Linked DNA regions of Drosophila melanogaster. The protein of the gene in region 3 interacts with the protein of the main gene of each other region in a pairwise test. Each region holds a gene or a part of one and is shown on either strand. Other genes may lie near its edges.

What was found. The genes of interacting proteins can lie anywhere in the genome.
Region 1: the proteins of CG14655 (region 3) and Grx3 interact in a two-hybrid assay, tested with the Drosophila melanogaster proteins (one large-scale study listed by BioGRID).
Region 2: the proteins of CG14655 (region 3) and dod interact in a two-hybrid assay, tested with the Drosophila melanogaster proteins (one large-scale study listed by BioGRID).

Annotation. Positions count from the first base shown.
Region 1 is NT_033779.5:13,363,473-13,368,426, reverse strand, and holds Grx3 (glutaredoxin 3), read right to left. Parts: upstream 1,981-4,954; 5' UTR 1,897-1,980; coding exon 1,687-1,896; intron 1,623-1,686; coding exon 1,360-1,622; intron 1,297-1,359; coding exon 1,119-1,296; 3' UTR 1,017-1,118; downstream 1-1,016. Other genes in the region: Tap42 (Two A-associated protein of 42kDa), read right to left, coding at 1-510, 581-703; Nnp-1, read left to right, coding at 2,351-4,414.
Region 2 is NC_004354.4:21,342,428-21,347,874, reverse strand, and holds dod (dodo), read right to left. Parts: upstream 2,518-5,447; 5' UTR 2,425-2,517; coding exon 2,367-2,424; intron 2,256-2,366; coding exon 1,923-2,255; intron 1,554-1,922; coding exon 1,444-1,553; 3' UTR 1,312-1,443; coding exon of another isoform or gene 1,126-1,311; 3' UTR 1,017-1,125; downstream 1-1,016. Other genes in the region: peng (penguin), read left to right, coding at 1-344, 443-918, 1,126-1,311; fliI (flightless I), read right to left, coding at 3,690-4,100, 4,224-4,374, 4,610-5,447.
Region 3 is NT_033777.3:4,776,501-4,783,327, forward strand, and holds CG14655 (uncharacterized protein), read right to left. Parts: upstream 3,803-6,827; 5' UTR 3,575-3,802; coding exon 3,119-3,574; intron 2,620-3,118; coding exon 2,010-2,619; intron 1,840-2,009; coding exon 1,328-1,839; 3' UTR 997-1,327; downstream 1-996. Other genes in the region: atms (antimeros), read left to right, coding at 1-304, 364-939; Ccdc39 (Coiled-coil domain containing protein 39), read right to left, coding at 4,771-5,465, 5,787-6,827.

The DNA.
Region 1 (4,954 bases), on a different chromosome or scaffold from region 3:
CATTACGCCCAATGTTTCTAATTCCTGCTTGGAGTCTATTATACTCTTGTCCAAATACTTGAGGAAAAAGACACGTTTATCCTCATCGTCGACCGTTTTGTTCTTGACTGCATCGCGCATTCTGGCCATATACTCGTCAATCTCCTTCATCCGGCGATACTGGGCTATTTTGTCGTTTCTATTGAAGGCTGCCTCTACCAGCTCGCGCTGCTCGCTTTTTTCCGCTTGGCTATCCGCCTTAGCCACCTGAGATTTGGGCGCTGCACAGAGATCATACTCCTGGCAACGCTGCAGGTGGTCCTTGAAGTAAATCTCGCCCAGCTCTATGGAGTGTGTGTTATTGGGGCTGTTGATCTTAGTGGTAAGCTTGCCCAGAAAGTAAGGGAGCAGCATGAATGGTAGCGATTCCGTGGACACCTCGTCGATCAACTCGTTGGCACTGAACATGCTAACCTGGTTCACAATGACGGTGGCCTGCTCGAAAAGGCCCATTGCAGTCTTCACTTTGTTCTAAACGTTGTGGTAAACGTTCAATGCTGGTTTTTATTACATATATATGAAGATCTTCAATATTACACACCTGAAATTCGCTGCCATTGAAGGGCAGTTCGGTAACTTCTAGCTCGTCGAATATGTTCCAGCCCTTTAGAAAGATGTCCGTCAGCTTTTGGTCCTCTCCGCCAGCGGTATTACCCTCAGCCATTTAAAGATTTGGATATAAGTTTATAGTTAATGGGTATTTTCAATAATATAAATAATATTGCGAAAATAATGTGCAAGATGCCGACGCCGAAACAGCTGTTTACAAAATGAAGGTACGCAAAATACCAGATAAACCAGGGCTGGTGTATAAAAAAGTTCTTACAAATTTCTAGCTATATTTATGTCGTTAAGTTTGTAAACATTTATGGTGACACCATTGAAGCCCGTGTAAGATGTCTTATGGATGACCTATAGCACATTTGCTTTAATACAATTGTTATTAAAAATTTCGATGAATAAAATAATACCAGAATGTAGCAAAAATCCTTTATTAAACCATTAAAAAGTCTAAGGATCTAGCTAAAAATTTGTTTCTGGTTTATGGTGTCTGTAGGAGTAGATGCAATCCGATGGAATTAGCCCTTTAGCGTGGACTCGAGCTCATTGTTCGCCAGCAGTTCCTTAATAATATCGAGTCCGCCGATAAGTTCACCCTTGACGTAAACCTGGGGATATGTGGGCCAGTCGGAGTAGGTTTTCAGGCCTTGACGCACTTCTTCGTCGCCGAGGATGTCAAATGTCTCGTACGGCAAGCTATCGAAGGATATTTTCGTTTATAACTTGAAATCAAATACAACTGATGATCAATTTGCATACTTGGTTTCGTTCACAATGCCGATGAGCTGCTTGGAGAATCCGCAACGCGGTCCATTTCGGTCGCCCTTCATGAATATCATCAGCGGAGCTGTATTGATTAGGGCCTTTAGGCGTTCCTCCAACGTTTGTCCTGTTGCCGCCGCGCTGCTTGCGTTTTCGGCCAACTTTTTGGATTTGGCGCTTATGGCGGCGATGTCTACACCATCGACACGGTCAACGGCGGAGCCCTTGGCGAAGAATATGACTGTGGGCACGGCCTCGATCTGGTGGCATCGCAAATGAATGAGGAACTACTGTTATATTTTCATAAAATAAATACGAGCGTACCTGATGTTTCATGGAAATCTCGGGAAATTGTTCAGCGTTTAGGCTGATGAACTGCAGTTTTTCGCCAGTAATCTTGGCCAGCTCCTCCAGCGCGTCTTTCACCTGACCGCATTGCTCTGCCCATTCGGCGGCGAATAGAGCTACGGTCGTCTTATCCGCATTAATGTACTTCTGGTACTCCTCGGCAGCCGACACGTTCACCACGGGCATGATTTCTTTGAATTATTTAACTAAATTTGCTGGACAAGCAAAATTTACAAAAAGCAGACCGAATTATCAGCTGTGGAAGAGAGTTGCCACTTTCCGTAAAGAAGTCAGCGCTGGTAGCTATAAAATAACAACCTATAAATGGCTAAAAATATATAAAATTGTATTAAAATGTATAAAGCAAGCGTTTCATGAAGTATCAAAACTAGCAATTTAAATATTCTTTTTATTATTCTTTTTTTCTTTATTTTATTCTTTGAAAATTATTTCATTAGCTTGAGTTTTTGTTGTCATTTTCAGTACAGCTCATGCATTTAGAGCTGTTGGACGAAATTTGGAGAAAATGTCGTTTCAACATCTGGCAACATCGAACGGCAACACGTGCGGTCGTGCCGTACCGTATTCAATATACACAGCTCACTTATTTTTCGCAACTAAAAGTTGAATTAGCCGGATAATGGTGACGCGCAAGAAGCCAGTTAAGCGCAACGCCGAGGCGGCCGAAATCCAGGTCGAGCAGGAGGAGGACGCTTCACAGCCGAAGGTGGCCAAGGAGCTGATGGTGGTCGCCCAGGAGGTGAAAATTATACGTGCTCTTGCCTGCAACGATGTGGTGGAGCGTAATCGCCAGATCCGCATTTTGCGCAAGTGGTTCAAGGCGCGTGCCGGTAGCTCCTTTCCCTTCAACGAGGACGACTTCATGCGCATCTGGAAGGGATTGTACTACACCATGTGGATGTCGGATAAGCCGCTGGTGCAGGAGGAGCTGGCCGAGAAGTTGGCTCAAATGGTGGACAGCTTCGGCGGTAATACGGCCTGCAGTCTGGCCTACTTTAGTGCGTTTATGCGCACAATGTGCCAGGAGTACTTTGGCATAGATCAGTGGCGCATGGACAAATTCCTGATGCTCACCCGCCGCATGGTGCGTTATCTACTGAGATTCCTCAAACAGAACAACTGGAATGCGGACCTGATAGCCGCATTCAACAGCAGCATGCAGCTTTCTGTGATGTCGGAGCAGCCTAAGTCTCGCGGCATGACCATGCACTACCTAGATGTTTTCTTTGAGGAGCTGGCCAAGGCGGCCAATGGTGAGATCACTGCTGCTCAGGTTAATATGTTCTTGCGTCCGTTTGTCACCTACATTGCTACACAACGCGATGCTAAGCTAGTGGCACAGTGCCGCACAAGGGTACTCTATCATCTGATGTACCAGAGCGACTTAGGACGACAGTACAGCGAAAAGTACAATGCCTGGAAGCAGATGGGTTTCCCCACCGCCTCCATTGATGACATTGAGAAACTAGATTCTGGATTTGACGAGGAGGATGACGAGGTCAACGCCGAGGAGGAGCAGCCGCGGGCCACATCCTTGGATCCCCGAGCGGGCAACGTGGACGTTCACATGCCGGAGCTGCCGCTCAACGCTGATTGCGTACTAGATGAGCTGCAGACGCAGCTACGCACCAACGATTTTAACAGCAAGAGACGCAAGGGATTGCGCAAACTTATCCAGATCTTTGAGACTTACCAGAGAGGAGAGTTTCCACTTGGCGTGAGGACAATGCCAAAGGTGGAGGGACAAACTCTGTCCGAAATGGTGGAGCAAAAAGTGGCTGCCTTAGATAAGATGGAGGACGAGGTCTTTGCAACCGGAAGAAAACTGAAGAAGCTCAACAAATCCAAACGCAAACGCCTACTGCAGTCCATTAACTTTGAGGAGGTGGACGAGCACAACTACGATGAGGTTATTAGCAAGGCTCTGCCTCCTGAGCTGCAGAAGAAGGTGAATTACAATGCAAAGGTGCGTTCTAGCATAAACAACGCATGGGTAGTAGAGGAGGTCAAGGAGGCCGAGCCCAAGTCGAAGAAAGCAAAAAAGGAAGAACCGCCACAGCAGAACAAAGATGACCAGACGAAGGTGAAGAAGAAAAGCCAGCTTAAGCCGAAGAATGACCAGTCCAAGCCCAAGATAGAGGATCAACCGACCTTGAAGGCAGAAAAAGAAGAGCCTGCGAAGCGCAAGAAATTGGACCACTCCAAGACGAAGGAGGAGCAGTCGAAGCCGAAGACAGACGAGCAGCCCAAGCCCACACCTAAGGTGGAGGGACAGTCCAAGGCCAAGCCGACTCCCAAAACGAAGGCTGCCGGTGTTGATGATGATGCTCCGACCAACGGATGGGATGCCCCTTTAGAGGACGGTGAGCAGGACATCTTTGTTCCCTCTCGAAAACTGCAAGTGAAGCAGGCCAACAGTAAGCTGCCGCAGTCCACACCCAAACAGCCTGCGCGCGCAGAGTTTGCGACTCCACAAACGGGCAGTGGCAAGCATGTGCGGATCGTGACTAAGAGCAACTGCATCTACCCCAAGAGCGATTACTACCGCCAGCTGAAGCTGTCTCCGCAGGTGCCCTACGACGCGAATCGGTTGCCCGGTAAGAGTGCCCTTAAGCCACACTGGATACCGGGACCGATTCATCCGAGCTACAAGGCCAAGCGCTTGTTCAACGACACTCTGTGACAAAGCGTCTAGTGGCAGCGACTGGGATTGGGACAGGATGAGGAAGATTAATTTGGACTTAGTGCTCTGAGGGACGATGAAGAAGGGGGAGCGCTTCGCATCATACTACTTCCTTATAAGGCAGTATAAGATAACACATCCACAATAGGCATGTCTTATGCTGGTTTTATAATACGTCTATACACACGAAAGTTTCCATGCTATATTTTTCTATTTTACAATGTTAAAGCCCTTTTGTTTAGTTTCGAGAGCACCGTTACTATGCTTAAATATTTCAATTTTCTAGAATAGTTGAAATTTACGATAGTTCCGTGTTGCCTTGACTAATTTCTACTCAAATAAAATCCGTATAAGACATGTACTAAATGTAATCCCCTAATCTTTTAGTAGTTACAATTACGACTTAAAATACTATTGCTTGTAGGCCATTTTATGTTCAAGCTATCCTCTGATCTGAGTTGAAATAAAAGCAAACGTAGTATATGTAAAATCAAATACGAATCACAAAGTTTATTTAATTACCAGGTACAGAAAGAACTA
Region 2 (5,447 bases), on a different chromosome or scaffold from region 3:
CGTGTTCCTCATCTCGCTGCTAAACGCACTGGACGACACTAAGGCGACCAAGAAGGCAATTTACGATCACCTACACGGAGATCTAAAGGCGCTAATGAGCAGCCCGTACGGCCGACGAGTGATTCAATGGCTGGTGGCTCCGGGTGATACGACATGCTTCCATCCAGAGTTCATTCGCACGGTGGAGGAGGGTCTAGCCTTTGGAAAAAAGGAGAAGGAGCTGCGTCGCAAGGAGATCCTTGAGCAGATAGAGGCGCCGATTGCACAGTCCATCGCCGAGGATGCCGCCTTTTGGCTGTCCAACAGCCACATCGGCCTGGTCACCGGCGATATTCTTAATCACAGTAAGTGCACACTTCTGAAAGCCATAGCAGAAACATACATATGGATTTACAAGAATATGTTCACGATATTAATGTACGTTTGCATCTCTGCCTTTTAGTTCAAGGCGAGTCCTATGAGAAGGCTGCTTCGGCCCTTGCCCAAGTCGTCGTCCAACCGGAGTGGCGCATTTCAGCAGACGCCGCCGGTCCGCAGCCGCAGGATAAGAAGAAGCCTCACAATGACGTGGAGGCCATTATAGCCCAGGCCACCAAACAGCGCAGAAAACTGCTTTATGTCGAGAGCAGCAGCGACGACGAAGATGAAGATGAAGATGAAGATGAGGAGAGCGACGATGAAGGAGACGAGAAGGAGCAGAAGGAGGCGGCCGCAGATGATGCCGAACCCAAGGTGAAGAAAGCCAAAAAGGAGCCCAAAAAGCCAAAGGCAAAGGAGGAGGAGCCGGCGGCTCCGTTGGTCTCCGGAATCGAGGAGGCCGGCATGCACATTGTATTGAAGAAGATACTCAAGAACGATGGCAAGCGAGAGGGCACCCCGTTCAGCCAACAGCTACTCCAAAACTTGTCCTCCGATGTGGTAAGTACCCAAAAATCATGCCATCCGGTAACCGAGGGTATCTTCCTTTTTCCCAGTCATGAGAAACGCATCGTACTTTTGAGTTTTTTCTTTTATTTAATGACGTTTCGACATTCCTTTAGCTTTAGTCTAATAAATAAGTAGTCGCAAAGTAAACAGCTTCACTCAGATTCCAATTCCTAATTGCGATTCCCTTTCCCTTTTCAGCTGAAAGCCTGGCTGGGCGTCAACCGGGCCTGTTTTGTCCTGCTCAAGCTGGTGGAGGAGTGTCCCGCACTGCTGGACGACTGCAAGAAAGCCATCGCGGCGGAGAGGAGCCTTAGCCAGATACTCGCGGACCGTAAGACGCCCGGAGCCAAGCTACTGGCCGCCAAACTGGACATTGGCAAATGAGAAACGCTTCTAGCCTAGACAAGACCTAACATTTTAAAATACAATAAATAATTCTATATTGAAATGGCTGGGCATTCCGTTTTATTCATGTGAAGGGACGCGAGTTGTGCTGTGGGTCGGTGCTCGATGAGTCTATGCCTTGCGCAGGATGATGTGCAGGCCGGAGTCGCTGTCGACGATGCCCGACAGCTGGTTGACGTTCAATTTGAAGGCAGCGTCCTCGAAAGCCGCCTGCATCTGACCTGTGAGATGTGAAATGTAATTAGAAGCAGTTGCAGGTCGGTTGGGTGGCCTAAACTCTACGATTGCAAGTAGCTCGCGAAGTTATAGGTACAAAAATGTGTAAGGTAAGGAAGATTAAAAAAGAAATGCCGCGGAGCCAATTGCAAATAGTGTTTGTCTATAACTATGCATCTATAATCTATTAGTGGTCGATATATCTTCTCTTCTCTTCTCTTGAATATTGAAAACAATCAGAGCCTCTAGTGGAAGTACCAATCTGTTTCTGGATTGCGCCTCAAGTGGGAAGCGCCTTATTCCTAAACGGACACACATCGAGGACCACTCGATCCTGGACGTGTGACAAATGCACAGTGGGGAGATATACATACCTCTGCCGAACTTTCCCAGGTCGCCGCCCCTCTTGGCGGAGCTGCAGTCGGAGTAGGAGCGGGCCAGCTCGTCGAATGTGGCCTCCTGCTGGACGATTTTGTTGCGATAGACCTCGAGGAGCAGCTGGGCCTCCTCCTTGGTGCGCGTGATGTTCGCCTCGCGCCACGAGCTGGGACGCCGACTGCCCTTGTGCTTAACCAGCAGATGCAGGCAATGCACCTCGTCCGGTGCATCTCCGCCGCCGGCGGATCCTCCGCCCGCCTTCTTCGCCGGCTCTGTGGGCTGATCCCACTGCGACTCCTTTGTGTACATATTGAGATAATAGCTCATTCCTGCAAAATCAATCATGATCAATCAAGTGCAGGTTCAGTTTAGCGTGCCGGTTCCGCATTCCGCCGGAAAACCGCCGGCATGGCACGAGCGGGACTGCACACGATGCTTACCTGTGGAGCGGCTAGTGCGCTTCTCCCAGCCGTCCGGTAGTTGCTCGGCATCTGGCATGCTGTTTTCACTTAATTTGAGTTAAATTACAAATAGTTTTCGGAATAAAATAAACCACCAGTGTGACCGCGCCGAACACGCTTTGAGAACATCCATCAAAATCGATAGCGCCTGCCATCGACATATCGATACACATGGTGGCGAATTCGCCAAATAAGGTGCTGGCACGTGCTAACTGCGGTGGGTGCACTCGCTAACCGCAGATACAGCTGAGGCCAATATAATAGCAGCGAACTAACAATAATGTGCTGATATGTGCTATTCTGATATGTTATATGTATCTTTTGCCGAAAAATTAGCACATAACTTAATTAAATCTATTCCAATACCTCCTTCAATCCGCGACACGAATAGAGGAATTTCAATTTTTCTAATGTTTATTCAGGGGATTAATAAAAATAAAATAAATACGTGGGCATTTGTACAATTAGTTTTAGTGCTTCCTTGACTTTATTACAGGCTAGCTTTAAGTAGGTTAACATTTTAAAAGGACTAGCACAGGGGAGTAATCCTCTCAGCTCAGCGTATGTATATATATATATATATATATATATTGCGTATTTGTAGGCATATGTGATATACATACATATGTATGTATATTTGCATTCAATATACTCATGTGGTTTTCTCGCAGGGAGTGGGCGAATACTTGGCGTTCTTGGAGTTAGCTAATTATTTAGTTAGGGGCGGGAGCAAGTGAGCTAATAAAAAAATTTAAATTAATTATACAAAACAATTAAATACATTTTATAAAAGTACAAACACACGATCTTCACTCACGACCTGAAGGAAGGGCTTGGCTTGGCCCTTTCATTCTTTTTCCCTCGATACAATTTTGCTTTGTCATGTCTTCTGGGGCAGCTACTCTGTCACGGCAGCTGCCCAGCGCATCTTCCCAGCGAACAACATTCGCATCCGGCTAACAGAGGTCTAACTTAATGCTTAATGACCAATTTACAACTCGATGGGGCTCCTCTAACGGGCTAAGATTAGTGGGTAACACCTCTAAGGTGCCTCTATTCATTTCATAAAACTAAACTCACATTGCAGGCGTGCTCTTCGACTTCTGGTTAATAAATGCACTTCCCGAGGCCGATTCACTAGCTCTGACAGGGACTCGAAGGCGCCAATCGAGACAAGCAAGACAAAAACTAGCGCCTTTTAGGCGCTTTCCTTGCGGAGACCTAAATGGCCACATAGCGGCGGTGCATGAATTAGGGAAATTTAAAAGAACTACTCGACGATGCTCCTTCAGTTGGCTAAAATTATAAATACACCTTGAAGGCGCTCCAGCCGTGGAAGCACTTGGTGAAACGGCGCGACTCCTTGTTCTTCATCGTGAGGAAGAGCTTCCTCGGCCGCTCCGGCTGCTTGATCCGCATGTGCTGGATGTAGACCTGGGCGGACTTGTAGGCCAGCTTCACCTCCACCTCGCTGCAACGCGGTCCCATCCACAGGAAGACGTGCTCGCCGTTGTCCAGGATCATGATATCGTCGTCGGCCAGATCGTCCTGGCAAAAGTCGGCGCACTTCTCGGCCACCGTGTAGTAGCCGCGCTCGTTGGAGCACCGGAACAGCCGCGTGTAGTTCATGTACTCGGCGTCCGTATCGTAAGGCTTGCGGCCGCCCAGCGCCACCCAGAAGAAGTTCTCCGGCTCGTCGCCCTCGTTGAGAATCTGCAAAGGATGGATGAAAAGAAACGATTAACAAGAGCGTGTACCTTAATATAAACATATGTACAATATATTCCACAAAACAGCCCACTACATGGTTGAACCACATTAACACATGGAACCCACCTGTAAGCTCACCCACGGCGAGTTGAACATCTGCTCGGCAATATCCTGCACCAGTTTGGCCTCTTCGTTGCAGGCCTTGCTGCCTATCCACACGTACACAATCCCCGACTGCGAATCGTCCTCCGTTTCAAATGGCACATGGAGTATGTAGCTGAAATAATGCGTATGGAATATAAATATTGGAGCGACTACTACTATGTTCGCTATCTTTTGGATATATATAAATAATACTGTGTCATATCACGTAGGCTTCCAGGAATTTCAGTTTCAACCAACGATAAGACAAGAATGTTGATCCAATAAAATCGCACTTGTCATACATCTCAAAAAAAAAAACTGGGTGATTATTACCACCCACAGTAATAAATTATTGGTAATTTGCTCACCAGAAGGTTGAGTTGAGATGCACTGCATCCGGATTAATTTGGATAAGGCGAGTGGTGAGCGCACCGCCGTTCGATCGCAGGTGAAAGAACTCAACTGGCGACTTGCCCTTCGCGGTGTGCGCCTTGTCCTTCCGCTTGCCGGTGTGGATGATGAACTTCCGCTTGAAGTGGGACATGAACTTGAGGTTCTCCTGCTGCTGGAAGATCCGCACCACCTCCAGCTCCTCGCCGAACATCGCCTTGAACTTCTTCTGCAGTGTAAAGGTAAACGTGAGCCATCCCATATTGCCGGCATTGCGTCCCTGCCAAAAGTAAACGACGCACTGGATCTCGTCCTCTGGCTGATTGTTGGCGCTGGATTTACTGACGTCTGCGGCTGGGTTAGCACCATCTTCGGAGCCATTCTCGGGCTCCTCGATGGGAATGCAATAGCGGCAGAGGAACACATAGCATTCGCCGGTGTAAAAGCGACCCAATTCCTCCTCGGGCAGCCGGACGAACTTCTTGTTCTCCAGTACAAAGGCCTCCATCATCTCCAGATCGTAGTTCCACTCCTCCTCCAACTGTTCCGCCTCCGCCAATGGCATGGCCGACTGTCGGGGCATAAATAGCGCGGCAAGATCCGTGCGCGTCTCCTGCTGCCGAGCCCACTGTGTGAGATTAGCCCCTGTCTTGGCCACCGACTTCGCCGTTCTCGTGAAGTCCACGGCCATTACCTCATCCCAGCCAGCGAACTTGGTTCGGAAGATCTGCATTTCATTGCCCTCGGGTACACGCATCACCAGCGCATAATCCGGACGATCCATCATGTTAAAGAGCTCCCGACTCAACTTGACAG
Region 3 (6,827 bases):
TCGTGGTGTGATGGACGAGAGCGGCGAACAGTTTGTCGCCTACTTCCTGCCCACAGAGCAGACGCTGGAGAAACGCCGTACAGACTTCATCAATGGCGAGCTGTACAAGGAGGAGGAGGAGTACGAGTACAAGATCGCTCGAGAGTACAACTGGAACGTGAAGACCAAAGCTTCCAAGGGCTACGAAGAAAACTACTTCTTCGTGATGCGTCAGGACGGCATCTACTACAACGAGCTAGAAACCCGTGTGCGCCTTAACAAGCGTCGCGTTAAGGTTGGCCAGCAACCCAACAACACCAAGCTGGTAAGTATATTTATGCGCATACATCTATAGCGAGCTTTACTTTGTATTATTTCTACCAGGTTGTCAAGCATCGTCCATTGGACAGCATGGAGCATCGTATGCAGCGCTATCGCGAGCGCCAGCTAGAAGTTCCTGGCGAGGAGGAGGAGATCGTGGAAGAAGTGAGGGAAGAGGAGCAAATGCAAATCATTGGCGAGACGGAGAAGACGAGCGAGGACGCAGCTGTTGGCGCACAGGCAGCATCTGGAGCGGACTCACCCGCCCAGGTAGCCCGCGATCGACAGTCTCGTTCTCGGAGTCGAACTCGCAGCGGGTCCAGTTCAGGATCTGGATCTGGCTCCGGCTCTCGGGCCAGCAGCCGCTCAAAGTCTGGTTCTCGGTCTGGTAGCGGCTCCAGATCACGCACAAATTCGCCGGCAGGATCCCAGAAATCCGGATCCAGATCGAGATCGGTATCACGTTCCCGATCCCGTTCCAAGTCCGGCTCTCGGTCGCGTTCTAGGTCGAGATCCAAGTCCGGTTCCCGATCACGTTCGGGCTCCAGATCTGGCTCTGGGTCGCGATCGCCCAGCCGGTCTCGCAGTGGCTCGCCTTCTGGTTCAGGATCCAGCTCTGGAAGCGCCTCAGATGAATGATTAATTACAAAAAACGGCGTTCATAATAAATAAGTTTATAATCAACCAAGTACATTTGAAAACTGAACTAACTCGATTTAATATCATTTTCGCCTCAACTCAGCGCTCGGGTTCGTTGCCCAGAATAGTTTTAAATAAAATCGGCAGTTTAACATAATTTATATTAGATGTTGTTGTTGTATTGCAAACAAGTCGGGTCCTAGTCGATTTACACTTGGCTGAGATAAAACAACTAAGATTCAAATAATATCCTCATAAGAAGATGTAATTAAGACGTTTTTCTTAGGGGGTGCTTAGGAATTGATTAGATCGCCTTTGGGGAAGTGCAAACAATGTAAAATGATATAAAAGGGTATAAATTAAGTGGATATATGCATCTTCGTTCCAACTACGTGGCGTCCATCAAAAAGCGCTGGAAGACTTCGCCATCGGAACTAGGTAGCTCTGTTTGTTGCGGTGAGTAGATTCTCAAGTTCTGGAGTTGCTGCAGCGGAGAGCCATTCCCGCTGAAGTGTACCACCGCAACCGGCTGTAGGGATATGAGCTGTCCCTCCTCCCGCGGCTCCACACCACAGATGCCCAGCTTTTGGCACTGCTCAACGACAATGTCGTCGATTGACTGCGAAAGCAGTGCCTCCTGCTCAGGATCCACAATGGAGCTGCTGTTGATGGCAGCTATTTCGGCGCTCGCTGGTGAAGGCTGAGTATGCGAGTCGTTGCCCTCCAGGAACGCCTTTATCAGCTGCTCCGGTGTCTGGGCCTCCTCGGTGGGACATCGATGGGTCCTTTGACTGACCTTGTACCTGAACGTCTTTTGGCAGAGCTCGCACTTGTAGGGCATCACTCCCGTGTGGATGCGCGTGTGGACAAGGAAAGAGACTCGCTGCCGGAAACACTTGCCTGTGGACGAGTCCGAAATACGAAAAGGTTAGACATGGAGTGACCCGGAAAAGAAGGTATACCTCTCCTTCATTTAAAGTAAATAGGGCAAATCGCAATGGAGTATGCTCATTTATAAGCTGGCTAACAAAATAAGGGGCGGCTAATTAAGGGGTTTGATCGATACTCACCGCAGACTTCGCACTTGAAGGGCTTTTCGCCGCTGTGAATCCTCTGGTGGTTATGCAGCGTAGACAGTTCCTTGAAGGCGCGTCCACAAACCCCGCAGACATGGGGCTTTACCTCGCTGTGGTAGAGCAAATGCTTGTGGTACGACTGCTGGAAGGTGAAGGTCCTGGCGCAGATCTCGCATGTGTACGGCATCTCGCCGGTGTGGAGCCGCTTGTGCTTCTTCAGAAAGTACTTGGTGGTGAAGGACTTGCTGCACACATCGCACTCCCACAGCTTCGGGGTGGCCGTGCCCGACTCCGGCGAACTGGGGGACTGCTGGAGCATGCTCAGCGCCCCACTCAGCGCGTATGGCTGGGATGCGGTGCACGTGGAGTTATTTCCGTTGCCAAGGGCTCCAGGCTCTGTGTGTCGAATGCGATCGCAAATGCTCAGCTTGGGCGTGGCAGTAACTGCACTGGTGGTAGAAGCGGGTGTAGGACTGGGATTAGGATTTGGATTGGGATTGGAGCAGGGCACGCCCATCATGTGCACTACTTTCAGGTGGATTCGAAGGGAGCCCTTCATTCGGAACGTCTTGGAGCAGAGATGGCACTTGTAGGGCTCCTGGTCCTGTATAAAGCAATAATCGGAATTTCACTTATATTTATCAATTCATCAATATGCCCTCATGGCCAAATATTCCATTACATTACCGTCTGTCTCTCAGTTTCAAATTTATGCACAAAAATCATTCACTTTCATTCACTATATCACAAAGTTGCCATGGTTTTAAATTGATCAAAAACAAATTAATATCTATCATATATATACATAGTCATATGAACAGTTGAAAAATTAATTGAAAATAATGGGAACGATATACGTACATACATCAGTTGTTTTTAAAATATAAGGGTATATAGATTTCTTTCTTGTTGTTGTTGATTTTAATTACGTCAAACTTTTGTTTCAGATTCAATGTAAATGGTCTAGCTTTTTAAGTATGATTTTTTTTTGCTGCCAGTGAGCATAGAAAAAAAAAATCAAAATCGATATAAGAATATGCGAAAGTGCATTACGAAACTCTTTAGATAATAGCACTTAATATATGTACATAGCCAATAGTTACCGGTTCCTTCTGTTGGGGTTCCTTTTGCTTGGGTTCTCCCTCCGCATTTTCGTGGACTAAGCGGACGTGCATGTCCCTCAGCTCGGTATTCCGGAAACTGAACTCGCAAATGTCGCAGTGGGCGGGCGGGGTGGTCCGCACAGGCGGTGGGGTTGGGACGACGGGCTTGGACCTGGTTCGCTTGGCCCTCCGTTTGGGAGGAGCTGCGGCAAGGAAGCCCCGGGACGAGGCGGGTTGGCCATTCGCTGGACTCTCGTTTCCCTCCTGAGCCATCAGACTTGTGTGCGAGAACAGGTGGATGGTGAGCTTGTCCAGCCCCAGGAAGAGCTCCTTGCAGTTGGCAAAGGGACAGGCCAGTGGGCCGTTGGCCGCCTTGATCAGCCTCTGCTGCAGTGCGTCAATACTGCCGAAACTGGGCACCGCGCAGAGCGGACACAGCACCGAGGTGGAACACATTTCGCCAGTGCACTCAATCGAATCTTATGCAAATGCTTCACCTCCTATTGGGATTATCCTCCTGTTCGGTCTGTGATCATCTATTCAGGAGTCCATTCCCAGACTGCCTAGTCTTTCTGCTTTCAAAATTTTCTAAAAATATCAGCAAGTGAAGATTTTTGAAAACTTTGGGCCCAGCAATCTGACTTCTCGGCACCGATGCCAGCTAACGAAATAATGAAAAATAATGAAATGCCCGGCGCGGATCGTCGAATCGTCAAGAAGACTTTCGGAAACACTCGCAGCACCGAAATCCCATCTCTCGAACAAGGCAGTCTCTTTTCTCCGTGTCTCTGGGTAGCTCATTTCGAAATATAGCTCTGAGCACGGCTATATACTATATGTATGTAGAATTATTTCTGGCCGATATATGTTGCACTGGCGGCCATATAGCCTTCGTTCTAGTCTTTGTAACGCACGATGCGCAGGAGCAATTCGCTGAGATGACCACATGCGATTTGCGGGACTTATCTAGAGATCTATCATTATCGCCAGATTGGTTTAATAATTGGCTTTTCCGCCAATATCCAATTGGAATATGGTTGGTTACTGCAATTGTCGCTCCATTTTTTAAGCACTCCATAAAAAGTAAACACATTAATATGTACTCTTATTGGAGATTTCTTCTTTCGATTTTAGTTTCGGACCAGTGAAAATCATTCGTTTCATTTTCGTAAATAAGAACTGAGAAAATATTATTATTATATATATTTCTTTATTAGGAAAATACGAAGATTGAGTATTTCAGATTGAATTAGCATATCCGTCTAAATCTTAATGCTGTAATGAGCTTACTTGAGATCTGATCAAAACCAATACAAAACCCACACCAAAGGTGGTAGCTAATATACATATTTTGTGTAATACTTTTGTAGAGTATTTACTATTCAGCGATTTAAACAAGCAATCGCCTAGACACACACATTTGTCCGCCTATGTGTATGTGCACCGAGCTATACCCCCACTGAATCGCTGTGTGCTATTTTTATGGCCGCGATGCTCTCTTGTTTTGACCCGCTTGGGCAACGCATTTTATTCGCTGTTTCGTTTAGATGGTCAATTTGTAAACACTGCGATGCCAACACGTGAAGATACGAGCATACGGGTTGAGATCATCGGATATCGAACGGAATAATAAATAAATATATTTTAGACTATTATTTTTTCTTCGGCAAGGGCAACTCAAGCGATATGATGCTCAGTCCGGAGTGGGAGGTTGTGGAGGATGTGTCATCCTTAAGGGAGCTCATGTCGGAGACGGAGGACCGGGCACTAGCCCCGTCGCAGGAGAACTTCTTGCCCTTAACATTGAGGTAGGAGGCGGTGTCCTGACCCTGCGAGGACTTGCCCGAGGAGCTGCTGTTCCAGGACACGCGGCTGCACGTGCGCTTCAGGTGCATCGGCAACTTGATTCCTTTTCGCAAGAGGATTCCAATTATATCCGTGCCGCTCTCGTCGCTGTTCGCCAGATCGGTGATCATGTTCAGCGCCTTGGTGTTACGCGCCTCCAGCTCCTGTAGAGACAGATCCCGCTCGAACTGCGCCAGGTACTCCTCGCTAAAGGGCCGCGCCTTGATCTCCCGCAACTGTGTCCGGATCTCTCGATTGGCCCTGTCCAGCTTCATTCGCTGGTCATCTAGTTCGCGCTCGATCTTCTCCAGAACTGCAGAGTGCTCCGCCCGACTAGCCTTCGCCTTCTCTATTTTGGAAATCAGGTCTTCCTCCTCAGCTCGCTGGGCTGCGTGCTTCTGCTGGTAGTGCTGTGCCTTGCACCTGAGAACCTTCAGTTTTTCCAGCTCGCGGCAGTAGGCCGCCTCAAGTTCCTTCAGCTCCAGTTCGGCCCGCTCGCGATCTAGAAATTAGAAGTATGGAAAAAATCTACCAATTTAACATTGAATTACACAATTCTAAGCCACCCGGCTTGTAGACATGGCTAGAATATGACCGCTTAATGTGCTATTATAGTTACTGAAAGTCGGAACGGACGGACGGAAATGGCCAGATCGACTCAGGTATGGATCTTGATCAAGAATATCTATTCTTTATAGAGCCAGAAAACCTAATTTGTTCCTATTCAATATCTGTATCTGTGAGTGTTATTAAAATTCAAAATTAGAGCAATGTTGCTAATACTAGTAACCCTTTCCACTCTGAATGGTCATTTATAACTCACCCTTTGAGTTTTCGTCCACAGATCGGAATGTTTTTCGGTAGTTATCGTTCGATTTGTCGAACTGGCGCAGTGTGTTTTCCAGGGCGACCACTTCCTTCTCAGCCTTGAGAACCTTTTTGTTGAGGGCATCGCCCTCGTCGGCCAGCATCTGCCGTTCCTGGGCGCTCACCACCTTCAGCTGTGTGCTGGTCATGATGGAGCCGTCCTCGTTTTTGCCTAGCAATTGGGCGGTAAGTTCAAAGCGCGCCTTCATCGCCTCAATCTGCTTCTTCCGCTCCCCGAGGTCGGCTCGCAGGGTGCTTAGTTCCTCGTTAAGATGCTTCTTCTTGAGGAGGAGCACATCCTCTTGGCTGCGAAGCTCAACGGTGCGATCTTTGATGGCGCGCCGGAAGGCAAGGCGGTGCTGCTCTAGGTCGTAGGTGCCCTGCTCGCAGCCTCCGATGCCAACCTCTAGGTCGCTGCAGCGCATCTTGACCATGTTGAGGTCGACTATGAGCTCGGAATTCTCGTATCGAATCTGGCGCAGTCTCTTGACGGTGCCCTCGCAGTACACCTGGGCCTCTTTAATCTTGAACCTGACCATTTCGAGCTCCTTCTCGTCGGCGTTGTACTGGACGACCAGGTTGTTCATGTTATAGTTTAGCTTCTTATTCTGCGCCTCCGTGGTGGCGATGAGGCGTTGCAACTTTTCATACTCCTGCTCCAGAGTGTTAAGCCGGGCCATGTTTGTGGCCTCTACCTCGGGGTCATCTGCCAGACCCTTGATCTCGGCGAGACGCCGCTCCGCCTCCAAGCACTTAAAGGACAGGCTGTAATGGATCTCCGTCTGCCGCTTGAGTTCGTTATTGACCTGCTGCTGATTGCGATTGATCGCTGCCAGGTTGGAGTTGAGCGAGTCGTTCTGCACCTTCAAGACCTTCTCCTCGTCCTGCAGCTCGATGACCTGCCTCTGGGTGCGGTACAACATCTCGTTGACCTTCTCCTGCTCCTTGTCCAGGTTTCGCAGAGCCGTCTCCTCCGCCTGCATCATCTCCTCCAGAA